Linked DNA regions of Drosophila melanogaster. The protein of the gene in region 3 interacts with the protein of the main gene of each other region in a pairwise test. Each region holds a gene or a part of one and is shown on either strand. Other genes may lie near its edges.

Evidence for each region.
Region 1: the proteins of Baldspot (region 3) and CG15212 interact in a two-hybrid assay, tested with the Drosophila melanogaster proteins (one large-scale study listed by BioGRID).
Region 2: the proteins of Baldspot (region 3) and CG43732 interact in a two-hybrid assay, tested with the Drosophila melanogaster proteins (one large-scale study listed by BioGRID).
Region 4: the proteins of Baldspot (region 3) and TM9SF2 interact in a two-hybrid assay, tested with the Drosophila melanogaster proteins (one large-scale study listed by BioGRID).

The regions. Positions count from the first base shown.
Region 1 is NT_037436.4:5,128,732-5,134,571, forward strand, and holds CG15212 (uncharacterized protein), read left to right. Parts: upstream 1-2,813; 5' UTR 2,814-2,872; coding exon 2,873-2,890; intron 2,891-3,028; coding exon 3,029-3,202; 3' UTR 3,203-3,396; downstream 3,397-5,840. Other genes in the region: CG4597 (uncharacterized protein), read left to right, coding at 776-835, 892-1,509; CG15213 (uncharacterized protein), read right to left, coding at 4,167-4,337, 4,397-4,414; Yod1 deubiquitinase, read left to right, coding at 5,660-5,840.
Region 2 is NT_033777.3:18,947,777-18,955,150, reverse strand, and holds the start of CG43732 (uncharacterized protein), read right to left. Parts: upstream 4,956-7,374; 5' UTR 4,548-4,955; intron 1-4,547. Other genes in the region: CG42613 (uncharacterized protein), read right to left, coding at 7,144-7,374.
Region 3 is NT_037436.4:16,657,183-16,664,944, forward strand, and holds the start of Baldspot (baldspot), read right to left. Parts: upstream 4,434-7,762; 5' UTR 4,289-4,433; exon of another isoform or gene 4,229-4,288; intron 2,285-4,228; 5' UTR 2,230-2,284; coding exon 2,048-2,229; intron 1-2,047. Other genes in the region: Galphaf (G protein alpha subunit f), read right to left, coding at 5,667-6,366, 6,460-6,557, 7,559-7,727. UniProt on the Drosophila melanogaster protein: Catalyzes the first and rate-limiting reaction of the four reactions that constitute the long-chain fatty acids elongation cycle. This process allows the addition of 2 carbons to the chain of long- and very long-chain fatty acids (VLCFAs) per cycle.
Region 4 is NT_033779.5:20,728,941-20,738,009, forward strand, and holds TM9SF2 (transmembrane 9 superfamily protein member 2), read right to left. Parts: upstream 5,370-9,069; 5' UTR 5,124-5,369; coding exon 4,986-5,123; intron 4,077-4,985; coding exon 3,882-4,076; intron 3,821-3,881; coding exon 2,838-3,820; intron 2,784-2,837; coding exon 2,624-2,783; intron 2,564-2,623; coding exon 2,060-2,563; 3' UTR 1,476-2,059; downstream 1-1,475. Other genes in the region: CarT (carcinine transporter), read right to left, coding at 1-80, 136-394, 543-725, 937-1,161, 1,220-1,312; Fs(2)Ket (female sterile (2) ketel), read left to right, coding at 6,433-6,490, 7,163-7,404, 7,478-8,506, 8,575-9,069.

The DNA.
Region 1 (5,840 bases), about 12 Mb from region 3:
TCAGTTGCTTTTCTCTGTACTTTGTTGTCGTTGTTTAATGGTTTTTATACATATTTTTTTTTTTTAGCCAGCTATTGTTGTTGGTAGCATCGCATTACGTCACTTTCACTGTAGTTTGCGGCTTAAGGCAGCCTTTCGGCTTTACGTTGTTGTTGTTGTTGTTGTTGTGTTGTTGTTGGCACTGTTTGCACTTGTTTTTGGTACAAACAAGCAAATTGCAATAAAAATGCTCGAAATTTATGGTCCACTGGCATACATACATTTTGTTTGGTATGATTTATCCGAGACTTTTGTTCGCCTTGCTTTCCGGCGGCACAATTTATGCCCGTTTACATGGTAAACTTTTGCTGTTTTTCCCAGTAGTTACCCGTTCATGCTTTTTGGTTCAAGTTCATCAGTTGGCCACCGAATTCGCAACTGGGATCAGGTTTTATGGTTATCGTCTTGATAGATGCGACGTTAAGTTCGCCAAGTTAGACTCGTATATCAGCAACTAGTTGGTAAACACTCATCACAAAGTTGATTTGAAAATATTTAACGCTGTAAGTTTGTTCATTGCGCATACGCCGTGTTAACATGTGGGTGTACCTACCACATTACGCATTCGCACCGTTTGCTCATAGAGCTGGGGCTTTGATAGATAAGAATCGGGCTGAAACAATGTCATTAGTCCAGTTAACGTGGCCTGACTAAACAAGCTAATTTCCCAGTTACCAAATGTCGGCAATTTTCGGTCAGTTATTTTGAATGAATCCAATCATCCGAGCATTAAACAATGTGGCCTCTGCAAAGTTTAGCTTTATTTTCATGTTTAGGAGCTCTTCAAGTGCACAGTGTGAGTTATTTAAATAAACCATAATTTTAATACATAAAGTACTACTTCTTAAGCAGATCAGACTGCGGCTTGAGCACTTTTATGTCAAATCTTTTGTACCAGATGATATGTTCGCGGAGTATGACATTGTCGACTATGAGAAAATCAATGTGAATCTCACAGTTCAAGTGCCCTTTCCTGGCAAGCTTCTCATCCACATTTTCGTAAGGAAGCTGTCAGATCAAGTTGGTGGTTCGAACTACTTCGATCTGATTCGCATGACGAACAAGGATCTCTGCAAGCTCCTCGATTCACTTCGCAATATTACAGTGGAGGAAATTCCGGGCGAAAGCCTTTTGCCCTCGACTTTTGTTGTCTCATGTCCTTTGGTTCCAGGCTTCTATTTTGTTGAGAATGGCGTTATTGATTCCAAACTGGTTCCTTTCCGCATTCCCGATGGCAGATACATGGTACTTTTTGAGCTGATACAAGTCTACGAGGAAGTTATGAAGCTGATTTCATGCAGAATCAAGTTTTCCATTAAGACACCACCTGGATACACGGAACCATCGCTGTTTAAAAATAGCGAGGAAAATAAAGCGACTGAGAAGCCAGTAGAGAAAACCGAAGAAGCAAGTACAGAGGTTACTCAGTCGAAAGAGGATAGTTCGGAAGTATCAAACGATTACGAATAATGTAATTTTTGTAACTTAAATTTTTTCAAATATATTATACATGGAGCCTCTCCCTTTTTTGCTAAATTTTTTCACCCAAAAAAACAATTTTTACACATTTTCTGCAAAATAGTACCATCTATCACCGAGTTTCGGGTGCGTAATAAAATTTATTATCTCCCACTAAAAATTCGCCGGGATTGAGACATATCGCACATGTTACAGCCACGCCCATAAATGTTAATTAAAAAACCCAGGGGCATGGGAAATATATCAAACATGAATTTAAACCGCGCGAGACAAGCCGACGACAAAGACTAACTCAAAGATATCCATTCAATCCAATCTTTTAATTTGTTGTCATGGTAAACTTTGTTTGTGATATCCATTCGACACGTATTTGTTTTTGTGGAGTACAAACTGTGGAATGTTTTTTTGAGCTGCGTTGACATTGTGGCGGCATTCTCGAAAGTTCGTTATTTACATATTTAGAGCAGGGCGAATGTTTCCGGTTTTCAGCTGCAAGATCGTCGTCAGCATCATCAATACTTGCACGATGACTGGGCAAAAAAAACACTTGGCCTCCGTACCAATCATATGTTGGTTTTTATACCATCGCCCAGCCCAAAATGGTTCCGTCGTTTAGCTTAACTTTTATTGATTTAGTATTCCACTCTACAGGCCTGACAGCTGTTCAAAGTGTCAAATATTTATGGATCCTCTGCTCAAGTGATAATTTATATTTTAATTGGCTTGACCACTGATCATTCGATCATTGGATCTTGAACTTCAGATTAACTTACCATTTGAATTGGGTGATCGAGGGGCTCTAGATACACTGAATTAGCAATTAAACTGCCTGGCATTACAATTTCCGCCTTCTTCCGGGTTTTGTTTAAATATTACTCCGCTGACCGCATTTGAGGTGACCTTCATTTGTCGATGTCTTCATTTACCCAGTCTGATTATTATTTAATCAACGATCAACTTCTTCAGTGGCTTAGCGAAGCAAACAAAAGATGCCACCACCAAGTAAACAGGGCAGCCTGGTTTTGCTGCTCGGTCCCGCTGCCGAAAAAATTGGCCCGAAAAAAAAAAAAAACAAAGCACCTGCCTCAACATGCCACGCCCCTTGAATCGTCTGCTTTTGGCCAGGTTTTTCTGTTTATACTTCTTTTTCGCTTACCGTCTTATTTATGCGAGACTCTTTTGTTTATGTATCGTTCATTTGTCCTCTTCTTCATTGCAAACTGCAGTTTACACATGACATTATCATCGATGGTCACCCAAAAGTTTGGCTATAAAAAGGCCTGATGCCAGATGGAGCCATGTGCAGTCGATATTTGGATTAATCAGCGTAATCATCTCCCCAGCAGCAGCAATCATGAAGTACCTAGCTCTGGTGAGTATTTGGATATAACATTTGGATTAATAATTGGATTAAATGATTTCCAATTAAGTGCAACATATGAAGTTGTTTGTTGAAGTATATTAAATTTTCAATTTGTACTAAAAATCTATTGTAATTCACATTTTTCAGACCATTTTCGTGTGCCTTATGGCCATCGCCCTCATTTCTGCCGTGCCCGTGGATGAGTCCCTGATCGGCGATAATATCTACCAGCCTGCCTTCGACGATGTCCAGCGTCCCCAGGATCCGCAGGCCATCTTCAAGCTGAAGAAGCTGCTCAAGTTGAAGAAGCTCCTGGGTTAGGAGAAATTCGCAATAAGCTTCGTTCAGATTCTAGTCCAGCCAATTGGGAACCTTGCCTCCCCCACTACATTCGATTTTCAAACCGTTTTGTTTAGACAATACCCAATAAGCACAAACACACAAACACACACAAAAGCACATACATACGAGTAAAGTATACGTAATCGTAACTAAAATAAATGTTATTTTCATACACGTCGGCTTTTCTTATATCATCGAAGCGTCGGGGATGAGATCTCCATGTGTGTCCAAAAAGGAGCTAATGACTGGCAGCGGGTCGGGTTTTTGTTTGCCTAGATCTGAATAAGAAACCCGTTTCGGATCGTTTCTGGGTAGAGAGTGTGAAAAGCGAACGGAATCTTCCTTACATGCGTATAAATATTGGCCAATCTCAGTCGTAAATGAATCAAGTGGGTTCAATGATGTGCTAATACAAGGAGCCCACTGTGAGATTAATGATCATACCTACTTTCATTAATTGGCATGATTAGTTAACTTGATATGCCAGTAATATTATAGCTTAACTAAATATAATATATTAAATATTTTCAAGTATCAAAATTATGTAAAAAGTAACGATAACTCATCACATATTGACATATTGAGAGCTGGTCACGAAAAATCGGACATGATTGCCATCAAGTTGAAGCACATGGTTCCAGCCTTTCAACTTACCATAAATTTTAACATTCAGGTGTATTAGTAGTATTAGGAATGATTTTAATGTGATCGTAAAAAAAGAAAATTATTTGGAATTGAAGGTTGGACCTCTTCAAACAAAAGACTTAAGAAGCGAACTTGTTTTTTTTTTGGGCACCATTTTGTTTTAACCTTGCAATAAAAAATGAATAAGTAAAGGTTTCGTTACCAAATACTTTCTTTAATTTCACTCTTGTTTTTCTTCTTAAAAACCTAAACACATGTTAAGTTAAACTATAAATCCATAAATGTGAGGGTGTGGTGTCTAGCCCAGGAACAGCAGCTTCTTGAGCAGCTTCAGCTTGAGCAGGAAGGATTGGTCGTCGGATGGGTTGACGGACTCACTGCCAGGACCTTCGAAGCCATCGGGAATGGCCTCCTCGCGAGGAGCAGCACTGGTGGCCATGAAGCACACGGCAAGGCAAAGGAAGACGCTCTGTAAAGGAAGGGTCAGTAAAGTTCCTTGGTATTCCGTGTCGATTTTTAGTGACGCACCAGGAGCAAGAACTTCATGTTGTATGTGGCTAGATGTATGTAGTAATCGATCGATGGATTCGCACTGCGCGTTGACAGACCTGCTTGCACTGATCACCAGACCCCGCCGACCCGTCTATTTATATGCCTGTTCAGTTGAGAGTGAGTTGCTCGGCCGGCAGACCGCTCGTCTTTCATAGAAACTAAAACAACGCGAAGCATCAGCCAAAGATTCAGTGATTCACATGTCGGCGGGCGGGGTGGTATATCAATCTGTTTGGACTATTAAAAGTGATTTTAGTCCAACACGCAATGTGATAACAAAAGCCAGGTTCCCTTTTTCGTAGCCAAGTAGATTACCTTATTGTGGTGCCATTGTTGAACTTGCGACGCCTTATGTTTGGGCAATTTGTTGACTTGCGGTTTCTCCGGCTTCACTTCTTTTTGCTAATCGGTGTTTCCTTGGTTCTGGGTTCTATTTGACTTGGCCATTAGCTGCGAGCGGAATCTCTGCTAAATATTAATTAGCAACTTGACATTGGCCTTAACGTTCAGATCAGCCATTAGCTTTTCGTTCACACCTCCATAATAGGCTAGAGTAGCTGAATTATCCGAATATAGTTATATTTTTAAGTGTGTATGCTGGCAGACGGCGAATAACCCATTGCGCAAAATTGATAAGATTTTGAGATTTAAATTTAAGCAGGCGGTTTGAAAATGCCGACCTGCCAACTTTTCGAAATTAGCTGCATTGAGTAAATTAAAAGTCGAATGTAGAGTTATTTGTAAATTTCTAAATATTTCACATCCAAGCTAAAATCTGTAAAATCGAAGTAATTTTATTCTTATAATTAAATGTGTTTACATTTTAATTAAGATTTGCTTTCCATAATTATCAATCAAGATTTACAAAATGGAGTAGAAAAGAGGAAAATACATAAATCTCCTCTTTGATTTTCCCACTTTTGAAAATTTAAATAAATAGCGCCAATTTTCCAGTGCTGCCACTCTTATCAAAAAGTTTGCAAGAGAACAAAAAATCGATTGGCCTCGCCAACAACATTACTCACTGCACTAATCGATTATAATTATATATTAAAGCACAAAAAATACCAACAGATATCGAAATTCGATAGCATCGATACGCTGTAACAAACAAATAAAAAAAAAGAAACAAATTAGTCAAATTACAAAATTTATCAGTTATCCAATTGCACACAAAAACCAACTCAAAATTAGCCCAATTTCCATCGCAGGCCCACACGAAGAGAACAAACGGATACAATGACGGGTTCGTTCAGTGTGAAGCTCAAGTCCAAAAAAGGTCAATTCATTGTCAACGACCTGAACGAGCATACGACGCTGGGGGAGCTGAAAACGAAAATAGTCCAGGCCACCGACATCGAAGCGACGCAATTGCACGTCCTAGTAGGCTATCCGCCCAAGCCATTGGATCTCTCGCAGC
Region 2 (7,374 bases), on a different chromosome or scaffold from region 3:
ATACTTAGTCAGGTGTAACTCCGCCCATTTTCAGACAGATCAAAATGTTAAACTGGGAATACTCTATCATCTATTCATATTAAATTAAATTATTTTAATAAGTGGTAACGAGTTGGAAATGCAATTAAATGTGATAGATACGATTTCTGCATTAATGGTTTCGTATGAATTACTTTTTGTGGCTTTGTGTGAAAAGGCATTTGTTTAAATTTTAATATCCATCCATGTTCAAATTGGTTTTGATGGTGTCATGTTTTATTTAAGCAAATAATATTCAAAGAAAAGAAAAATGATTTAAATAGTGTAAATCATTGCGAAATAAATGTATGATTTTGAGCTCAATAAAGTCCATATAAATATACCCTTTAGAACAATTTCCTTACTACCAACAAAGCTCTTTAGCATTTCGATAAAATTATTCGCAAGTATGCAAACAAGTTAGGTAATAATGATATTTGCAATGTTTTCTTGCGGTTTCTTTCAGTGTACGTGTGAGGCTCACGTTTCCGCCTTCAACTGCAGTTAAACTTGATTTCTGTGTATCCTTTGTCTTAGTTCCTTGGACAAGCGTCTGGCCCTCATTGTAACCCACATGAATGGGGCTTATACTCGTATGCAGGCGTGTGTATGTGTGCCTGTTAGTGTGTGTGTGTGTGTGTGTGTCAGTGGAAGTGTGTGGGTATAGCCTCGACACAGTAGCTGATGGGTGGTGGTGGCCTTCTTTTGGCCCGCTTCCTGACCCAGCTTGTTGCATGTTTCACGTTGGCTTTTATGGGGGAGATTTTTAAAGCTTACACAAAGATGCTTCACTCTCGTTTGTCTGCCATTTTATGCATTCACGTATCACAAAAGAGATATTTTAATATGCCAAGGAACGCGCGACAAAGATTAATGAAATTCTCGCCTTAAGCCACATCTTTCTGGCTAAGTGAATTCATTTTCTTCGGATGCGGAAACAATGGGAATTTGTAAGCAGAACAACGCTGGCATATTACGCGTTTACCAAACAGAAGTTTAGATTCCGGGAAATATTGAAAATTCAAATTGGCTAATCAGCCATAAGGCCCAAGGCCTTCGCTATATGCCAATTCCATTTGGAATTTGGAAATAAGGTATTTGGCGAAAAACAGTGGCTGACTGGGGCTATTTGAATTGGCTTCCTGTCGGCGCTTATTTCATTGTGGCAGCCTCTGTTTATTTATAATTCGATTGGAAATGTGTTTGGTCAAAGAAGTTCATTTCGATTGGCGCCACCTCATCGCATTTTACGACCATTCGCGGTTTGTTTATCTTTCTGTGTTTAGGCTTAATTACCGTGGCATTTCATTCATATTTAATGTGTCGGAAAGTTCTGCCCACCCGCACAGAAACTCAATCGAAATCGGCCTTTGAGTGCTCGCTCGGTTAATGATTTTTATTGAAATCGGCATAGTTTTCACTCGACTGCCCAACGGTCCATAAATTCATAATGCTAAGGACGAAACTTTAGCTGGCTATTTGCTCCGTTCAGATTGATTAGAAGATTGATAGACTGGCTGTAGCTAAGTGAGAATGACTTGAACTTTGGGAACTACTCGTAATTGATTGGCTCAGCCAGTTTGTATTAGCTTTTTCACGCAGGAGATGCCAGCTAAAAGGTTGCGAGTGTGGTTTTGATCGCATGCCAAATAATTTATGTCTTTTGTTTTTTCGCCAGTTAACAAGGTCTTAAAGCTGGTAAGCCTTGTGCAAATTTCATTCCAGAGGTGGCACATCAAAAGACGATCCCTTCTTTAATCAGCAAACTCATTAGCATCGTCCGCTAACTAAATACAAATTAAAGAAACAGCATCCACAGCTGGCAAAGCCGCTTGCCTTTCCCCTTTTTCCACGCTTTTCCGCCTGCTCCTGCTGGTTGCTAAAAAGTTTTCACTTCGCAGCCGTCAAGTTGATGTAATGAAAAAGTTGCAGCATATTTTTAACAATATTTTCCCAGCTCATATCACATGACGTGGACACGCTGGCTACTTTCTACTGGCAAAAGCCAATGCTGCTGCGGAAAGCCTTCAAAACAACAAGAACTCGGCGTACAGGGCGCTAATTAGTTTCGAGTCGGCGTTTTCAATGGGAATATGGTTTGAAAAAACATCGCTCATACGCAACGTTGGCCCGCAGCCGCAGGTTATTATTATAATTTTGGTTCGGAATGGTAAAAAAAACGGAAATAAAACTTATTTCTAGCACACAAACTGAAATAAATAAACACTTTCGCTGCGAAAGTGGAGACCACACCCTCCACTCAAAGCCGTTTTGCACGTAGCTTTTCTCGTGAGCAGCCGTCGGGAAAATCGCTTGCAAAAGTGAAAATTGAACAAGGAACCAAAGGCGCAAAGGAAAACCATATGAGCAACGGGTTAGCACTGTGAAAGCGAATCCAGTGCAGCTCATTATAAAATAGCCAACGTAAAAAACCCTATTTCCGTTTTTTTTTTTTTGGGGGGGGGCGGGTCAAAGGTGCTCGCTCCGGACCCGAAAATTCACTTTGAGATTCCAAACAGAAATTTTAACGATGCATATAAAAACCCGGCGACGGCAAATGAATAAATAATTTATGCGTAAAGGTTCCTAAACATTCGAGTGGCTGGGTAACATTATTTGCAAAGTTACTCGTCTCTTCTTTCTTCGCATTTTCCACACGTAGCAAATTGTATCTCTCTATTACCTGGTGGAAGTAGCCTGATTTAGTGGCAGTGCCGCCCACCTTAGCCGAAGAAAAAGAAAAAAGGGTTGAGTTTAAAACCCAGCCAACCCCGCAAGTCGACTTTTCACGGGAGTCCCTTTGGGTTATGTTTGCTTATCACCTGGTTGGCTATCCAAACAAGGTGGAAAACGATTGCGGCCCTCTGTTTGCACATTTGGCACGTTTCAATTTCGCAGCGATTGCCGAACTGCATGCAAATTGCAACTGAATCCCACTTTTTTTTTGTACGTTTACTACTTTGCATATGGCAAAGAAACTGGGAAAGCACTTTCATCTGATGATCGACTGTATGGATAGACATCGGAGTGAGAAATAGTCAATTACGAAAATGATTTTCGTGAGTAATTATTAAATAAGCTGCAATTTCAGGTAGGCAGGCTGACTATAAACCATCGCTTATAGTGAAACGTGAGCGGAATTTAAAAAGGAAAGTAATTTACAAAATGTTTACAAATATATTGAGTATTGGTTAGAATAATTGGTTGCCGTTATTAGCATGTTTATAATAAGCGTGAACGAAAATAACGATTTTTAAACAAAATCGTTTCGTTGAAAATCAAAGTATAAATCTCTTGAAAAATATTGCATTCAATTCAATTAATCTTTTGCTGAAAGTGTAAACGGAAAAACACGTCTTCTGCTAGTAAAACTACAATTTTATTTCGCAGATCATTTCCCTTTTTTTTCGGATCAAACAAGAGTATATTCAGATCTAAAAAATGAATTGGAAGATGAGCAATGCGTTTACTCCTGCCTCAAATCGAAGCTGTCACTTGTCAGTGGCACGCGTTGCAGGAACGGAAATCGGAAAGTTCGCCCGGACTTTGGCTGTGACTCCAATTAAGCAGCTGGCGAACAGGTGAAACAGGTGAGACCCAGCAGAAGTTGTCATAACTGCCGTGGACACATTTCCATCGCCATCACCATCGTCCCTTTTTCTTCTGTCTTTTCCGCATTTATCCAGACTTATTGCTGCATTGCAAACAATACGAGGGCCATGTTGTAAATCCCCCAACAATTGTCTGCCTCCAGTTCGTTTTGTAACCTTTCGTTGCCCAGATTGCCCTCTCCTGTTTAAGGACGTTCCAAGAAAAAGCAGCCAGGGTTACCGATTAGGAATGTATGGCCATTGTGCATGTGAACTAATAACGCATTTGTATGTTTGCTTTTGAAAATGGCGAGTTAGCTTGAACGTGAACTCATCCGAAGGAACATTCGCTCAATGCAAATAAAACCCAATTTTGCTGAAATGAGCATTTTTTTTTTTTTTTTTGGTGAATCGTATGGGCATGTGGACCGATTCCAAGAATCAATTTACATGGCCATTCTCGTTTGGTCAAAGGAATAGGTGTCATAGGTTGATATTAAATGGAAATGCAGCATTGTAAGTGTGGCAATAAATAATTCAATACACAGCACGGAGTGACTTTCATTTTAGTTGTTATACAAGTGAATTCCATTTAATAATTTCATTCGTGATAAATGATTAAGGTATTCTTATTTGGAATTGTTTGCCAAAAAACATTTGCATTTAAAATTGTATACGCGCACAAAAGAGGCATAACTTAAATATTGCAGTGGTTTTGCTGACTTTCAAACATCATTGTTTAATTTTAAGCGAGTATGATGTTTAAATGTCTTTAATCCTACCAAGTGATTCTGCAAAATACCTCCCAGCCTTTTGCCCCGATTGATCACCATAAATAGCCCACTCCACAATCTTATAAATGCCGAATATCTCAATTGTGCACCATAGCCAAGGCAATTTCAAAAGAATATGTAATTCGGTTTCCATTTGAATATTTACGTCTCGCTGCCGAGGGCTTTCTCAATTGATTTGTAATTCACTTTTGTGTCGAACAATTCCGCGTTGAGCTCTCCGTTTGCCAGGCCAGGGTTTTTCTTATCGCCGGGATTGGTTTGGCCGGATTTTGGATTTTGGATTTTGACACCGAAACGGAATGCTTAAGCAAACATTAAAATGCAAACGCACAGGACGAAGCGATAAGGCGGAAAGAACAAGAGACCTTAATCGGTGGTCAAAAGCGGGAAAAGTGCGCGCGTTGCTGGGAAAACTGATTCGAGGCTCCTGTCACACGATGCGATTAATGACGCGTTCAAAAGCTGGTGGCAAGCGGAATCCGGAGCTGAATTGAGCTGGCTGAAAAGCGCGTTGCGAGTGTGTGTGCCGCACGGCCGACTGAAATCGACTGACTACGCTCGGCTGCTGCCACGGCATTTAAGGCAGAGAGTGAAGTCGGAAAATGCGAGGAAAATTCGGAGGAAAAGCGAGAGAGCACGCCGCGATGACATCAAGTGAAAGCTCTGCCATTTGAATCGAGAGACGGCTGTTAGTCCAACGCCAATATAGTACGGCAGCGAAATAAATCAAATTGAATCTATGATTTCGTTTTTGTGCACTTCTTTTTTCTACTTCAGGACCCCAGGACTCCTTGGCGCAGCCTCCTCCTCCTCCGCCTCCTTCTCGAGTGGATCCTTCAAGTTGTTTGCCACCGGATTTCATTTGGCTGCGGCTCAATGAGCCGTCGATTCTGTTTGTTCGAGTGGCCGACGAGCGCTTTAATCGCCCATCCAAAGCCAAAACCAAAGCCGCCACTCGAGACAGCTGGCAGGTGGCAGATTTCAGGTGAAACCCGAAGGTTTCCAGGTGCCAGGCCATCAGGTGGTGCCAAAGCTGACAGGTGAGAATCTTGTTTAACTTCGGCTTCTGCTCATTATGCTCCTCCCGTTTTGGTCCGACTTGGCCGTTTGTGCGGATAATTGCCGCCTTCAATTTAAATTGCCAACGAGCTTGGCGCACCTAATTTTCGATTTCATTTAATTTGGCGCAAATCTCATTAGGGCAAAAACGTCGCCCAAGATAAATGGCAGTGTGTTCTTTTGTTTTTTTTTCTTGCTCTTCGTCCGAGGCATCGAATCGCAGATACTTTGACCTGTGCCTGGGGCACTGGCGTCTTTGACTTTCCCTGCTCCGTCCGGCATGCCAAGTCAGCGATTTATTTGGGCCAAACAATGGCGGGATAACCCAGCAAACATTCACTGGCCAACTGATAAGCGCCAATCTCTTGGCAAATGATAACACCGTTGGCCTGGCAGCGCAGGCGCGAGCTTTTCCACAAGAGAGAGATAACGATGGAGAGAGTGGAAAAGCCAGAGAGCTCTGCCAACTGATAAGAAAGCAGCAGACTTATGCTGCCTCTGCATCTGCGGCTTCAATTGTCTTTAATCGCTGCTCAAATGTCGATGATGTCCTGGGAAGTGTTCTGTGGGATGGGTTGGAAAATTGGAGAGCGGTTACCCCGGGGAGGAACTTTAACGAATTGTCATTGATTTCTTTTGAAATGGCACCGCTTTTGTTTGCCTTCGCTTCTGCCACATTAGGCAGCTGAGCAGGGGGGGGATTCTGCTCCTCTAACTCTGATTACTGCAGCTCTGCCTATCGGGGGCAATGATCACAGATTGAATTTGCTCCGGCGGCAGCCGGTCTTAAATAATTATGAGCGCGTTTAATTAATAAGTTTGCCAAGGCAGCAACAAAGACCTCGAAAAGGGTTCTTCCAGAAATATGCTGTTATTGTTTTTGCGGCCGGGAAGCAATTAAGACCGCCTAGCGCATTGTCTTCTCGGCCTCAGCCCCGTTTGACCCCAACTTTGTTATAAATTTGCCTTTGTGCGTGCTCTGAAAAATGACCAGCCCCTCAAATGTAGAAAAAAATAAATATATATATATAAAAACTGTCACACAAAGAGTTTGAAAAACCGAAAATGAAAAAGAGATAACTCAGATCCGAAAGGGGCAGGGACTGGGGTGCCGGAGCGGATTGCTTCCTTCCTGCCGGGGGACGCTCACTTTTGCCGGTCATTAAATTTTTTTCCATTGCCTTTGGCAGTCGATACATATTTGGCTGCGTACATAAATAATGAGCTCAGTTGTTGTTTGGCCAGATTTGCAAATGTTCTTCGACAGTTTCAATTATTTATTTACCAGCCCAGCCGACGACTACAGTGAGCACTCAGTGGGGTCTTTAAAACTGGCAGGCTAAAAGCCAGCTAGTGGACACTCGAGACTTGCCAATTAGGACGTAGGAAAATTGTTTTACATGAGTTGGTTGAGAGTTACACATTTTTTAGCAGGACTATGGAGGGCAGCAGCAACTTTCACAGAAGTTTAAAGGGAAAAGTGCCATGCTAAACCATTAAAGTTTGATGTGGCTACATTTAGATACTATAAGTCCGGATTCAAATAAATTCATAAAATTCATGAAGACGAAAAACTTCTTCAGCTGTTAATAGTAAACCCATATTTTTAACAATTAAACATGAGGTACATCATGTACTTGTTAAATACTTTGCAACGAATCTAGTAAATAAAAAGTACTCACCTGCATAGAATAAAGGCAGCAGATTGAAGATGATAACCAGCGGAAATATAGAGCGTGCAAACTTTTGCATATCCGTAAGGATGCCGACTGCCGGAGTCGTTGAAGCCGCAGCAGCGTAGTCCTTTGTGGCTTCGCCGTGTTGATAGAGCTTTCGTTGTTGTTTCGTAGAGTCCTGACTGACTTTGGAAGATAGGCGTGATAGGCAAGTGCTCGTGGCGAGGCGATCCTGCT
Region 3 (7,762 bases):
CTGTAATACGCAATACGTTATGGATACTAAAAACTGAAATATTAAAATTCTCCAAAGGCTTCGACCTCTTGTTTACTTTTTAACTATAAAAAAAAGCAAAAATCACTTTAAAGTGCTGGTAAATATTGTAAACGCAATCAGGTGGTCCAGTGTACCAGTGTCCAATTGAAGTGGACCTATAGAGCGGCTACATGTCAAAGTGTCCTGTTGGAGTTCCGTCCAGGACTACTACCCACAACCCCGTCTGCGTGGACACACCCACTTCTTGCATGACACACAAGCACATATGTACATACATACGTGCCACATGGTCGCCGTGGAAAACTTTGTCCGTTGGGCATTTGAAATGAAACGAGTACGACATGGCGTGTACCTATAAACCTAATCAGTTTAATGACTTTAATGGCGCACTGTCCGAAACGAGTGAAACAAAACAGAAATTCAAAAATTAAATTCATGAAAGATGAGGTGGAATGCAAGCGGGAAGTCCACTCTCTAAATATGTAAATGTACAGTCGGTGGCATGCGGTCAGGTGCATTTGCATTCTTTCAAAGTTTGCGATTAATTTTGACACGCTGTTCAGAACCGTGGTTGCTAATTAGAGATTCTTAAACATGGCATGGTTTGGAAAACGTCAAATATTGAATATTCATGCATGTGTTTGAGTATTCAAGAAGTTAAGTAGCCATGCTGAGCAAGCGGAAATCAATCCGTTTTAATTTGCCCAATTCATCCTTACCTTGTCAGTTTTTTAACCCCAACAGTTCGAAAGAAACGCCTGCATTTTCACTAAATTCACACCTTTCTGTACCAAGTACATACGTCCATTTGCTTAGCCGACTCTCCTCCATGTGGGCAAATATTGAAATGACATTCCGAAAAAGCCAAGTGTAAGGCAAAGCCAACAACAATAAAGTGAAAAATTAACCGACAGATCCCCCGACGAGTGTCCGCGTAGAGAATCGCCAAGCAACCCAGGGCCAAGCCCCTATATAACTCATCCAAAAACCCAATGGCTTTGGGTCGGAGTGTGGGCAGGAATCGCTACTCCACATTACATTATGCAAGCAATTGAATCATGATGTGGAATTCAGGGTTAGGAAAGCCACATCAAATAGACTTATCTAGCTAACATTTTTTAGAATACAAAGACGTATGTTTCGAAAGATACTCAGAAGGAACTTATATAGCCCGTTTTCCCCAGTTGGACAATAATAAACTTTTCTGTTAGACGGTAGCAACTTTCTACCGAATTTCACAGTGGCCTTAGCAAGGCTATAAACAGCTCCAAACCAGGTGACAAAACTGAATTATGATCTTGCAAAAATACTGTCTAAATGGCATGTCACGAGCCCAACTTAATTTGGCCACAAAGCCCGATGACGACAATTAGAAGCAGGAAGGCAAACACAGTATCATAGGCAAAAACGAAGCGAATCGAAACGAGACAATTGCCAGCACGAATAGCCGCCAATTGGATCCACCACAGGTAAATCAGGTAACAAGGAGGGGACAAACAGCGCTGACTGTTGGAAAAATTGTTAAAATACCCAATCAAATAGGTCTTTAGCCATCGGAAAATACACCTGAATAGTGCGTGCTCAGGTGCGAATGCGAATTGTTGGCTATTTGAGCCCGAGTTGAGGATTCACCTACAACATTAGTGTTTGATTAGCCGTAATTTAATATAATTACACGTGGAACTCAACAGCTGTCTGGGCTAATAACAAATGTACACTTGGACTCCAGTCTTTCCGGAGAATAAACCGAAACAAAGCGCGACTGAGTCAATATAGGGGTTTCCAGGGATTGGTTTCGATAAACAGCAAAGTTGTTTCTACCGACTGCAAGGGGCGTGTGCACTTGTGGGTGTAATTAACGCCGCTCCCCGGCCGCCAGCTAATAATTTTCCAAGGCCAAAGGGCGCAAGTTCTTAACCCAACCGTTATTTCACTGAATTGTCTATCTAAGCCACCAAAGAACACATGTTTTTTAATCGCAAAACTGCTTTAGTTCACATAGTTCAGTTCAGTGTGGCAGACTCACCTAGGCCGATTTTGCATAAAGTGCTGACCACCGAAGATGACCAGCATGTAGATGCCGCAGTAGTAGAACACCCATGTCCAGTTCTCTAGCATCCATTTGCGCGTCCGCTGGTGTATGAAATCGTTCTCGAAGTCGAAGATGTACGAGTAATTGGGCGTAACGCTAATGTCCATGTTGATCATTTTGGTGGGCTTTATGTGTTTGAGTTGGTGGCTATGTTACTTGGGTTATATGCAGCTGTGGATTGACAAGAAAGTAGAGATAGATTAGTTAATGTACTCAGAACTATCTTGTCAAAGATCTTGTACAACTTTGTTAAGGAATATAGCTATTCGTATTAGAAATAGCTATTCGTACACCAGAACGATTTTATTAAATTAATATTAATTTAATATTAACAATAGGTTTTAGCTTCTGCTGATTAAAAACTAATTTAAATATACATCGAGCTATACAGCTGTTTTATTTGAATAAATAAAATAATATACTGAAAGTACCCAATGAACTAGGACGGTTTAAATTTTCTCATTTTGCTCTGTATGACTTTGTTTTTTTATACATTACGTACTTTTAAAATAGGCACACAAAAAGGAAAACACTTTGAATATAATTTTTTAACTTATGGGAACATTCTTTAATTATTAAAACTACAATTTATCTTCGAGTCGAATGTTTTTAGTTTTTTTTACTGATTGCAGTATCTTATCTGTTTCCTAAGTAATGGGGATTTTACACGACGATGTTTAAAGCTTAATTCAGTAAAAATTCCGCACCACTCCCCCTTATCAAAACTCACACGCGCTCTCTCACACACACACACACACAATCAGGCACATAAAAAGCCCGCGTTTTGTCGCATAAATTTCTCGGCGACCTTCCTTTCCCCTTCGTCCCACACCACTCCTCCTCTCATTCATCCATTTCATTGATTTTGCCAGGCAACAAAAAAAACACCGTTGGTCCATGGCTCTCTCTTACTCAATCTTTCTTCCCTCTCACACCCCTTCAAACACCTTCCCGCTCTTGCTCACTCTGCAAGGGATGTGCAACGCTTTCATGAATGGCGCACGCTTTGTGGTTATCTTCATCTACATTCTTCCGCTTTTCACACTTTTCACACCTCGTGCTGAAGCTTAAATGGATACACAAACAACTTGATACACAAAGAGAAACATTGCTCGTCAATCGGAGGTAAAATCTTGACATTAATAATTAAGTTTAGTTAAATGTGCATGAGTTTTATTTTAAATATTTAATTTAAATGTGAGAATTTTAAGATCCCCAAAATCTCTAGCCGAAAAACTACACTAAAACTACAAATTAAATACATTTGGAGTCTCCGAGTTTGGTTTTTTTTAACATTCTACTTTTATATCTTGAAATCACAATACTAATAGCTGAATCCAGGGACACTCTGAGTCCTGTAAGCTACCCCGTTATTACATCACTTTTCTCACAGTGTTCTGGGAGCACATGAGTGAGGGGGTGGCTGTAACGGAAAGTGTAATTGTGGTAGTTTACAGAGAGCGCCAGTCTGGCGCGCTCTCTCTTCCTCTTTTTCTCTGCCCACGAAAGTCTCGTGCGAATTAAAAGAACTTGAAGGAATGCATAAGCAAACAGCGAAACCCAGCAAAATACAAATGAGACAGGGCAACTTGCCGGTGGGAGGGAAATTAGTTTGAATGCCTAATTGCATGCCAGACACGCGACTAATCATACACACACTCGACGCGCTCACACTTTTACGCACTCTCACTCACTCTCGCACACACAGGTGATTTCGTTTTGCCATAAGCTTCGCTTTGGTTTGATTTGGAAGCTTTTTCTGTTGTTTCTTTTTGAGTAACATATCCGGTTTTTTGCGCGAGCGCTTTCAAAAATTTCTAGTGAAATTTTTTCGATGCTCCTAGCGGTTTTTATGTTTCCGAAAAACAAACTGCCCCTCCTCGCCCTAACTTTGCTCTCACGCAAAAACACGCGATCTTTGCCGAATTTTTTCCATTCGTATTCTGGTTCCTGCTGAATCGATAAAGTTCTCGGTTAAATCAGCAAATGTCTGGGAAATATGTTTTTGCCTCTCCTCTCTTTCGTTCTCTCTCGCAGCATCGGATGAGAAAAAAGGGGCGCAAAATAAGGAGGAAACCAAACCACCGCAAAACATCAACGAGAACACGCACTCACACAGATATCACAGAAAACACGGTTACTATTTTCGAACGCTGATGTCTATGAGGTAATTACATTTGCTCGCCGCCTCTTATCGCAGTATCAATTGGCTGGATCACAACACACACGGCTGGCTGTCACACACTTCTGCCCCAGCGACTCGGTTCAGCAAACTCAAAAAACTATCGAATTTGCCGGCGCAAAGCGAACTGAACGTTTAGCTGGCGGTTCGGCTGCTTTATCGCTATACTTATATATAGGAGATATTTTAGTACCAATCATGGCGCTGGTACTTTTGCCATCGCGGTATTTTTCTGCGGCTCGCGTGCGGTCACATCTAGCTGCGTGCGGGTGGAGCTCTATGCACACTGGTTCCACTCCTATTGGGTACTAGTCAAACTTACTTATGTTGCAAGGAACAGTTAAGCCACTAGTGTCTTTGGTTAAGCGTAGCAAGATGCATTTGTATGCCCAAATTATTAAACAGTATCGCGAGTTATACAGGAATATTTTTGTTTTATGGTTATACCGACATGAATCGTTAAAATGTTTGGGGAGAACGTAAGCTGGTAAAAGTTAAAACGATGATCGATCTTTATTTAACTTTTTGATTTGGTTGAAAGTAACGATTCTTTGTTCGTGTTGCATACGTAGACACAAAACTTAAATACCATATCACTTTACGAGTAATGGGTATTAGGTAAGGACCACAGCTCATTGGTGTGTAACTTGGCTATTAGTTAAGCGATGGTAAAGAACTATGTGGATTCCATCATTTAAATTTAAGACCGACCGTACAAAATATAACGCTCTGATCGATAAACGGCATTTAAGTGGAATAAGCTTTTTTTTTAATTTGAATAAGAAGCGCATATTTTGTAAAAGATCACTATGACTTTTTGCCTTTCAATATGTTTTTTATATTTTAAAATGTTTTAATACGAAGCTTATATATTCTTGTATAAAGAGTAGAATGGTGTATTCCGAATGGGAAACTATTTTGATCAAAAGTAAAACAACTATGGTTTCTTTTCCTTTCCTATGGCAACATCAGATCGCTCAAAGCGTGTGTGCCCTTTGAAGTATGCTACACTTTGTGTTGCATGGGACCCAAATACCCAAACTTTGGGTGCAAAAATATTTAAAACTCATTCTCAAATTGTCTGGGTGTGTTTTGGTTTATTGTAGATGCTATATTCTATTAGAGTTTAGACATTGGTTGAAGGAGTAGTGAGAGCATTCGGTATGAGGATTCTTCCTCTACACCCAATGCAGTTAAATATATTAAAGCGTTGTACCAGCCATTGTGCAACATACGGTTGCCACTACGATCTACGGTCTTACATGGCTACTTATGTAAGTCATATCCTACTAGATCACAGTTGGTGGGGGCCTGAGGACAGCCCTCCCTTAACTTTATTGAGAAGCTCTCCGATCCGCAACGGGATCTGGACTAGAATAGGCCCATGCTGGACACGTTCTCCGAGAGGATCATCTTCTGGACATCGCAGAAGACATCACGGATGCATCGCGTATCCGTGGCGACGGTGAAGTGGTAGTAGCACTCCCTTTCCGAGGTACCCAGATCCACCTGATTCCGTGAGTGTCGCTTGAACGGCTCCTGTGTGATATCCACCAGCTTCTGTTTGATGAACATCTTCGTCCAGTCACTCTCGCCAAAGCAATTGTCCTGCTGCGGCCTCTTGCAGAAGTCCTCGTATTCGGGAAAGTAGTCCACAATGTGCTTGCCGGCCCGAATCTTTCGCTCCATGATGTCGTACTTGTTGAGGAACACGATCAATCCGGCGGAGGCGAGGAAACGATTCTGCCACACGGCTCTGAACAACTTCAGAGCCTCCTGCAAACGATTCTGGCTGGGATCCTCGCGCAGATTCTGATCGAACTCGCTGCACGAGATCAGGAACAATACGGCCTGTATGCCTTCGAATACCTGAATCCACTTATTCCGCTGATCCCTTTGGCCACCCACATCGTACATTTGGAACTGCTGTTCGCCACCACCCATGCTCTTGGGAATGGGTACGCGGAAGGTGATTTGCGAGATGCCGGTGGTGATCTTACGGCTGTGCAGAATGTCCTCGGTGCTGGGTATGTATTCAGCATCGCTGATCCGCACAAAGTTGTCCAGGAAGCTGGGGTAAAAAAAAATTCAAACTTTAGTAAGGTTTTTTTTTGAATAAATGGGAAAGAAATCTGATTTTGAATCAATCCAATTAGATACTTACTATTTCGCACTATCCAGCAGGGGAAACTCATTTGAGCGATCATAGCAGGCGCGAATACCCACATCGTTCCACAAAGTAGTGACGTGGTCGCAGTACTCCTAAAAATACAAAAAAAGTAACCCAAAATTAAGTATTGTTTTCAAGTCAGTGATGGAAAATAACATCAACTCTTCACCGGAAGATTGCAAAAGCCGCTTGGACAGACAAGTACGAAAAGCTAATCCGGTAGTAAAATTGTCTAGCTAACCGTCTAAAAAAATTCTATTTGCTGAATATATGATAAGGATCATAAACGCCAAGATTGTGTCACTTTGCAACTGTCATACGAATGATCAACATCAACATCAAAGTAACAGCACAAAGTCAACTTTAAACTTAAAAATAAAATATAAGAACCTCCAAAAAACATACTCTATTTTGGTCTGATATGATTATTTATTTCCTCAGTTAACTTAAAACTCTGAACGTATTCGAGTCACCTATTCAAACAGTCAGTCATAAAGCAAGGGGAATCCGAACTTCGGTACTTCTTTTGTTTATGCTTGGCATTACTCACTGGCAAAACATAAAACCATGAATGACTGGCATCTAGATCTGGGAAAGGCCCCGCCCACTTGGAGACCTGAACAGCCTTGGTAATCTAATCGTAAGCCATATAATGACCACTGGTTAGAGGTACATAGATAAATTTCGGAAAGATAAAGCAGATTGCGCCACATGAATCACATTCAGAGGCAGCGTTGCAGCTGCGGCAAACTTGAAATAAAAAAAAGGAAAGAGCAAAATAATACAATAAGGCCCGGGCCAGGAAGTCCGATTTACAAAACACTTGTTTTGGAAAGTTTTTAGACATTCCACGCCGCCCAATGGACACGCTATCAATCAAATCGCCGCTACTGATAACACGAATTCGATCGAAAGCCGTTGGAGATTTGACGCAAGTCCGGCGATTGACTTCAAAGTCGTTTGCTCGGATTTTCGACAGCCACAACGAGCATGTATTTCAAACTGCGACACCACGACAACAGACTTTGAAGTGCAGCGAGGGATAAGATACAGATAGTGGGGGCACCACTCCAGGTGCCACTCCGAAACTCACCTCGTTCATATATTCGGGTGCCGATCCGGGCAGAGAGAGGATATAGTCCGCCGATCTTTCGCTGGTACAGCTGCCGAAATCAATGCCCAGCACTCCCATCTGACCCACCAATTGCAGGATGGACTCGTGGATGTTCTGATATATCTCGGGTATCTTCTCTCGCCGTTCACTGTAAAGAAAAAAGAAAATTAAGACCTTGAGTAT
Region 4 (9,069 bases), on a different chromosome or scaffold from region 3:
GAGCATGATGCCCGAAGTGTAAAAGGTGCACGTCATCACAGTCACGAAGGATCGATAGTTTTCACCCACCAGTTCCAGAGCTGCAGACGCAGAAAAGTTAATGGTTAAAGTTAGAAGCAACAATGAAATACCCACATATTATAAATGGTATCTGGTAGACAGCTGGAATGGTCAGTCCTACGATGACTCGACTGCCGGCCCAAGTCCAAAAATCCTTGCTCAGCGAAGTCATTAGGCTGCCAGCCAGCAAAGTGGCCAAACAGACGAAATAGGAGAGCCTTCGTCCACCACGATCATTGAGTAATCCGAAAAGATAGACTCCCACTGGACCGCCAGTATTAAGAGCAGCCAATCCAATCGTAGGATAAATATCCTGATCGCACACTAGATCGAACTGAAATAGGAGGATTTAATGGTTTATAGTAAGCCAATCCTTCGCTCCTAGGTAAAGGTAGTACTGATGCTTGGGAAATGATTCGAGCAACTCCTACATGAATGACGTTGTAGTTTCAAATGAAGGCTTGGTGGTCTGGATTGCGCACATCAATCACAATGGAGGACCAGACGACGCTTGTGTTGTACTCCCATCCCTGGGGGCACTTGATCAGTGGCCAACTGGCATTCGGCTCCATGGTCGTCAGGTCATCCTCTTCCCCCGATTCAAGGAGCTGCGTCCAGTTGACTCCGTAGGTATAACATTTGCTGTAGACCAGTTCGTCGTTATCCTTGAAATAATTATTTCATCAGTTATTTCAAAATATATTTAAATAATAGAAGGCATAGAATATAAGGTTTACCTCTCCCCCATTTCATTGTTAGCCCCTTCGATTACTCATCGAACCACCCTCGTATCGACCCTTCACCTTAAGCAACGCACAATCAATGGGCTGACTTGATTGCCTTAGCCTCGGCACTCGTATGGCTGCAATTACTCACCAGTTCCTTGGGTATGGACAGCGATTTTCGCTGCTCCAGGGGCAAGTCGAGTAGCTCCGGGATGCGACACCAATAGTCATCCGGAGTATCAGCCATAAACAACTGGTTAAACGCACAAAAACCGCACGGTATGCAGGCGGGCAGGCAAATTCCGAAAACCAAGAGCTTCTGGTATTTGCCGAATTCGCCAATGGTGGGCAGAAGGTCGTCCAGATCGAAGGCCTCCTGGAAAGAAAACAGCAAATCTAGAGAAGATCAAGGACCGTGTCTCACAGATATGCACATCCACCGAGGGCTGGGATTCGGGCTTGTGGCGTTGTCGCAGCTCCGAAAGTTCATCGTATTCGTCCCCATCGTTGTCCTCAATATCTGACATGGATGCGCCTCTAGACAAGCTCTGAGCTGGAAATGTTTACTCACACTGCCCGATTGGCTCAGCTCACGGAAGCCATAGAAGCAACCACTGACAACTGTCAGTTGTCTAGGGTTGAAAGAATGAGCTGGTTCTGTTGATAGTAAAAAGTTTGTCGCAGTGGGCTCGATTCGTAATTTATATTTTTGTTTATTCTTTAGTCGCAAGTTAGATTTAAATAGTTTAAACTAAAGTATTTAAAATATTACACGTGAATTCAATCCTGCTCGAATTACGGCTAAGACGAGCCACTAATTACAGTTGTTAGGCTTTGATATTACAAGTAGAGAACGGGGTTTAAAGTACTTCGTTATGCAGCTCAGTACATTTAAAGGGATTTTAGTTTTTTTTTTCTTGATAATTTCTTCTTTTCTTGGAATCGTTGCTAGAGCTGGGAAATGGACAATGCTAAATTTTACGCCTAAAGATTAACAGAACGAAGAGCTATACAAAAGATGCTTCAAGTCGTTTTAACTCCAACTCGTTCGCTGTTTACTGCTTAAAAATTATTGCGCGCTTCGTTACTCCACTGTTCCTTGCCTGATACAAACATATGTTATTATACACATATCAATCGTAATTATAGTAAACAGAAAACTGTCTGTGCCGGGCGCACAGCGCAGAAATCACACACACATTAGGCTTAAGTGTAAATTTGTGGCTACACATACAAAAATACATTCGCACGAGCTCCTTCTTGAATTATGCGGTTTAATCCACCTTGACAACACTGTAGATCTTACGTATGAACCAAAAGCACGCGAAGAACCCGATGGTGCCGGTCAGCAAGAAGAACAGGAATACCATAATGGCCGTGTAGCCGAAATACAGGAACGTCGAGGCACTGTCCTTGATCGAAAGCTTTGTGACGAAGTAGTGGCAGCAGTATATGAACAGATAGACTGCTGTGAAGCCGGACGTCAGGAAGGAGCGCCACCACCAGTGATAGTCCTCCGCACACAAGTGAAAGTAGCACAGCAGAATGGTGGTCTCCGAGCATGTGATGACCAATATGACAAAGACCAGGAACAGAAAACCGAACATGTAGTAAATCTGGCTGGACCACAGCGAGCTCAGGATAAAGAACAGCTGAATGAAGATGCAGCCAAAGGGTAGAACGCCGCCCATAACGATTCCAGGAATAGGCTGTGTGTAGATCGATTGGTCCGGAATCTGACGGGGAATCTGGTTGGTACGCACAGGGTGCTCCAATGCCTGAAATCGTACAGACAAATGTAAGGAACCATTTTAAAAACTAGCTAAATATATACTCACGCGCTTGCGGAATCCAAAGTAAGCTCCTACAAAGGTTAGTGGCACAGAGACGCCAAACCACAAGGCAAGCAGAGCAATTAGCGTGCTAAATGGCACAGCTCCGGAGCTATTTTCCCCCCACAGCACCAGGTTCATGACGAAGAACAATGAGAAGACCACACTAAAAAAGAAAAACGATTAAATAATAATATCGCTTTAATTTCAAAGAACTTACCCAGGGCAAACGATCGAGGTAAGGATGACATTACTCTTCCATTTCAGCCCACCGAAACTCTTGTAGATACGCGCAGACACGTAACCAGCCGGTGTACCCAACGAAACAAACAAGACCATGGAACAGGTCATCAGGGCTCCCCGATTGGCTGGGGACAAGAATCCCAGGCAGGCAAATGCTAAGGTGATCATGGCCATCACAAGCACCTGTACACCCGAACCCAGGAATACCGACAACAGCATGCCCTTCCGCGGCGGCCTGAACACATCACCATGTACCAGTTTCCAGCCAAACTCCTCCTGGGCATCCTCACCGCTATCCATCTGATTATAGCGGGCTATATCTTTGTGCAACGTACGCAGCATTATCATTGCCACCATGCCACTCAGGAAAAGGACAATAACCAGGGAGTTGAGAATGGAGAACCACTGGATATTCGTGTGCGGCATGGATTCCAAAATGTAGTCCCAACGTGATGACCATTTGATAGAATCGTTCTTTACAAACTTCACGCTGTACGTGTAGACAATTTCCAGCTGTTCTCCAGCCTTTAAAGAGTTCTCACTGATTGCCAGTGGCTCTGTGCTCAAGCAATTGGGGTTTTCCTTATCGGTGTGCTTAATAGATTTGGGAGTCACTTTTACAGAGATTATGCGTCCACTGTTGCCGAACTGAATTCCCCAGTCCTCCGACTGTCCACTGTGATAAGTAATCTCGAGATCCACATGGTTGAATGGATAATAATGCATTGGCTGGTTATATATAGAGTTGATGGGACAACCCTCGCCATCACTGCGAACTAGACAACCCATGGGAAAACCAATTCCGCAGTATTGCTTGCCGTTCTCCAGTGGGTAGCACCATGTAACCGGCATGTTGTCCACAATCCAATGATGTTGGTAGTTCAAGCTGATTCCTTTCTTAAGAACCATCATACGACGGTTGCTAGCCGGATCGTCTCCTTTGTAAGTCTTGACACAGGTCTAAATACGAAGAGTCATTAAATCATTATGTTGGTAATGCGTTAAAACTGTTTAATCTTACGGTCGCACATTGCTGGTTTTCCAAGAACTGAATTTTATAGGGTCCTGGACGAATTCGCTCTCCGAACACAACCTGTCCCAGATTCTCCACCGGTGAGTTCTGCTCCTCGCCCAAACAAAAGTCGAAGTGATGGTACTCATAGGGTATTACGGATTCCTCAGTGTTTAAGCGGTTGACGTACAACAAGATTTCCGACTGAAGAAGATAATCAGGAATTAGATCAATCAATTGGATTGACAACTGTTGATAATACTAGTGTATTTTAATCTTATCGTGGAAATAATTATTAAAGTTTGGTAAAAATTCCAAAAGTTTGCAAATGCGTTCGATAATTTGACCCCGTAATTTGCTTTTACTTTGGGTTCTTAGAAATTTATCTTATCAAAAAGCTCTCTTAGATTGTTAGAAACAATTGAATGTGAAACACCTTAATTAATTCTTATCATTGGGCAACGTCTAATTTAAGGGCGTATAAACCGATTAGGATTTCTTGACCTACGGGTATATTAAAAAGTTGTTTAGATTTGTTTAAAGATAAGATGAAGCAAACAAAACCAATAGCTCACGCTTTATCATCCAATAGTTAGGTCATCTTTTAAAAGGGCTAACCCCATCTATTTGGGATATCAAACTAAAAATTATACTTTGTCCTGAATTTATATTGTTATTGTGTTATACTATTATTACTAAAAAGAAAATAACCCAAACATAATGCAAGGAAGCATGACAAGCTAACCGCGTTCCCTGGTTCAATTATTGGTTAGCCGCCACTATGTTAAGATTCTTAAGGTCGGGAGCCCCCGAAATCGCATTCGCGAGCCAGCTGAACCAACATTAGAACTCCCATCTAGCTGTCGCTAGGAAAGAGAGCTGGCGTAGGCAACGTCAGCAGAAGTTGAGATAGAGGGCCACATATGGACCCCACATATAACTAGTTACTGCGCTTATCAGTGCTTCCGCCTGTGACCACCATTAGAGGAATATAGAACCAATGTACATAACTAGTTCCAGTGCCTTTGCTAATTGTGGCGGGCGTGGGGCAAACACACCCACTATCTACGTACATATGTACATCTGCACTTCTGCACATACGTATACACCTACCTTGCATGTGGATGAGACGTCGGTTTTCTTGCAGAAATTGACCGGTGCCAGTCCGGGCAGATAGAAGGCCTGTGTCGGGGTCGCAAGGTGCAAGAGAACGACGCCCAGGAGCGGCAGAAGTCCGGATAGCAGGATCATCTCGAATTGGGGTAACCAACGAACGGCAGGAGTAGCAGACCTTCTTCCTTTACTTGTACGGGTTGTAATCACAACGTGGCCGTGTCCGCGATTCTCTGCCACACTTTCCGGATCGGCGGGCCACGCACAAACCGTACTATCTGGATATTTATCGGAATATACGGAGTTTTTCGAGTGTTTTTACTACGTTTCCTCTTTTTTGCCGAACGTCAGCACTGTAGCAGCGTTGCCACCTAGTACAGCTGAGAGGGCTGCCAACTGGCTGACAAAAAAACTACCAGCATTTGCAAAGCTAAATATTACCGCGAAAACCTTTAGCTCTTATTATTATTACGTGCAAAACGAAATTTGGTAGACTTAATAAACTTTTATATTTAAATTAATTAATTCCCCTGTTCAGTAAGCGAATGCAACCAATATACACACGTATACGTGTGATACTTCTAAGATATTACTATTTTTATCCACTGTTTCTTAATATAGTAATCAAATTTTGTTCATTTGTTAGTTTTTTACCTACGACTCTTAAGTCAAAGTATTCGATTATTTAGTTCGTTCGAGGTTTTGCTTCCGTGCTTATCTTTGAATATGAAAATTTTCGATAAGCACAATCATTCAAATTTAACGATTGATTTTTGGGGAGGCAAACGCGTTTTAATACAAGTAGTAAGTATTTTGGTCTTATCGTTCCTGACTAATAATATATTTTGTCAAATGGTTGCACATTTCCTACGCATTTAAGAATATTTAATTAATACGTTATTAGATTTAAAAATTATCGATAGTTCGAATAAAGCAATCGAATAGGTGTCGCCTTTTTCATCGAAACTCAGTGCTATCAAATAAAAATCGACATTCGTTTCAGCTCTATTTCAAATCGGAGACACAAGAAATATATTGCCTGCACTTCCCGAAGAGCAGATAAAGGTTCTGCCACCATTAAATAGGCTTATAATAATAACTAAGAAAATCGCCGTTAGGAATCCCGCGCTTTTTTACCGTTCCCGAAAAATAACCAAACAACAATGTGAGTAGAATGAAGAGTTCTACTGAACGCGCTTGTTGTGTGCGTGTGTGCGAAAAAATCAATTCTTTTGACAATCAAGGTGTTGCAACCTGTCGAAATAAAATCGCCAGCTTCAGCGGAGCAGCCCAATAACTTTAACTCTTTTGTCTCCACCATTTGCAGCCGACAGACTAGTGTTGTCTAGTAATTACGCAAAAATTCCATCACCCACACAGACGCACGAGCTGCAGAAAGAAACGGAAAGTGAAGTAGAAATCATATAGAGAGGAAAAGAGCGAAGACATGACTTCCGATATCGCCATGCAATTGATTGCCATTTTGGAAAAGACGGTGTCGCCAGGTGAGTTTCCCCACTGCTACAAACGTGTGTGTATAGATCCGAAAAATATGGATTTTTCTTCGATTGGCGGGAGGGACGCGCGTTATATGTTGCGCAGGGTTGCAATAGGCGCTCGCATATGTTTGGTTGCTAGGGGCCTCCGCACACATGTGCATCCACGTACATACTCCAAGGGAAACTTGGCGGCGCGTCTGTATGTATTCGCAATGCTTGCGCTCCTACAATTAAGGATGTACGAACCGCCTGCGACATAACCTCACTAACTCTAGGAATCGATGAGGCGTCGCTTCGGAGTCACCACCGTATGCTTGGCGGCCAGTTCTTCCGGTTGCTGATAAGGAATGCCTGCAAACTTGCCCCTTGCCTGAAGATTTTATGCTCCACCGCTACAATTCATTACTAGACCTTACTGCTTAGCTCTTCATATGCACACACTTCTTTCACCATCTATTGTATTCTTATTAAACAATATTCTCACTATATACGCCTTGCCTAAAAGTTCCTATCTTGCCTTCACATTCCCAAAAGTCAATTGTTGTAAAATTCAATGGCCTGATACCAAAGCTTTAAGCCGACCCAAAATGGTGGGCGTGTGTAGGCCCACAAATAAAATCTTTCGTTGACATAATTGGAAATTAAAAATGTCTAACCAACCAAATGACGCATTTTCAGACAAAAATGAGCTGCTATCGGCGAAGAACTTTCTGGAGCAGGCGGCGGCCAGCAACCTGCCCGAGTTTCTCAAGGCGCTGTCAGAGATACTGGTGAACACGGCCAACAGTGCGGTGGCGCGAATGGCAGCCGGTCTCCAGCTGAAGAACCACCTGACCAGCAAGGACGAGAAGGTCAGCCAACAGTACCAGGATCGCTGGCATCAGTTTCCCAGCGAGATCCGCGAGTTGATCAAGAATAACGTAAGTTACATACGCTGATGTTGAAACATATGACTTGTACAATTGGCACTGAATAACTGCGACTTACTTTCAGATCCTGGCTGCTTTGGGTACCGAGAACACCCGACCCTCCTGCGCCGCCCAGTGCGTGGCCTATGTGGCCGTGATTGAGCTGCCGATAAACCGCTGGCCCATGCTCATCCAGACACTGGTGAACAAGGTGGTCAGCGAAGGATCCAGCGAGATGCATCGCGAGTCGGCGCTGGAGGCCATTGGCTACATTTGCCAGGACATTCGTTTCGGCGTCATGGAGAACCAGTCGAACGATGTGCTGACTGCTATTATTCACGGCATGAGAAAGGTAGAGCCGAGCAATCATGTACGCTTGGCGGCCACCACGGCCCTTCACAACTCGTTGGAGTTCACCAAATCGAACTTTGAGAAAGACATGGAGCGCAACTTCATCATGGAGGTGGTGTGCGAGGCCACTCAGTGCCAGGACTCGCAAATCTGCGTTGCCGCTCTGCAGTGCCTGGTGAAGATTATGACCCTTTATTACCAGTACATGGAGCCCTACATGGCACAGGCTCTTTTCCCTATTACTTTGGCGGCCATGAAGTCTGATAACGATGCTGTAGCGCTGCAGGGCATAGAGTTCTGGTCGAACGTCTGCGATGAGGAGATAGATCTGGCCATCGAAAGCCAGGAGGCCACTGATCAGGGCCGCGCTCCGCAGAGAGTGTCCAAGCACTATGCTCGAGGTGCTCTGCAGTTCCTGACGCCTGTGCTCGTCGAGAAATTAACCAAGCAGGACGAGTGCGATGACGAGGACACCTGGAGCCCGGCGAAGGCCGCCTCCGTTTGCCTCATGGTGCTGGCCACATGTTGCGAGGACGAGATCGTGCCACATGTGCTTCCCTTCATCAAGGAGAACATCGAGTCACCTAATTGGCGATTCCGCGACGCAGCGGTAATGACTTTCGGCTCCGTGCTGAATGGATTGGAGACCAATACCTTAAAGCCGCTCGTGGAGCAAGCCATGCCCACGCTCATTCGACTGATGTACGACTCCAGCGTTATCGTGCGCGATACCATCGCCTGGACCTTCGGACGTATTTGCGATGTGCGTAGTGGTGATTTTTAAGGTGATTCATATTGTCATACTAACCTTCTACTGCTTTTTCCTGACAGATAATTCCCGAGGCGGCTATCAACGAGACATATCTTCAAACGCTTTTGGAGTGCTTCGTGAAGAGCCTAAAGTCAGAGCCGCGTGTAGCAGCCAACGTGTGTTGGGCCTTCATTGGACTTTCCGATGCAGCTTGGGAGGCAGCGGTCACCAACGACGGAGAGACTCCGGAGACGTACGCCCTGTCCCCGTACTTTGAGTACATCATTACCCAGTTGCTGGAGACCACTGATCGATCGGACGGAGCTCAAGCCAATTTGCGATGTGCTGCTTATCAGGCACTTATGGATATGATCAAGAACTCTCCCTTGGATTGCTACTTGGTGGTCCAGCGCACCACGCTGGTGATTTTGGAGCGCTTGAACCAGGTGATGCAGATGGAAACGCAGATTAACAATCACAGCGATCGTCATCAGTTCAACGATCTACAATCGCTTCTGTGCGCCACTCTGCAAAGCGTTTTGAGAAAGGTCCACGAGCAGGATGCGCCTCAAATT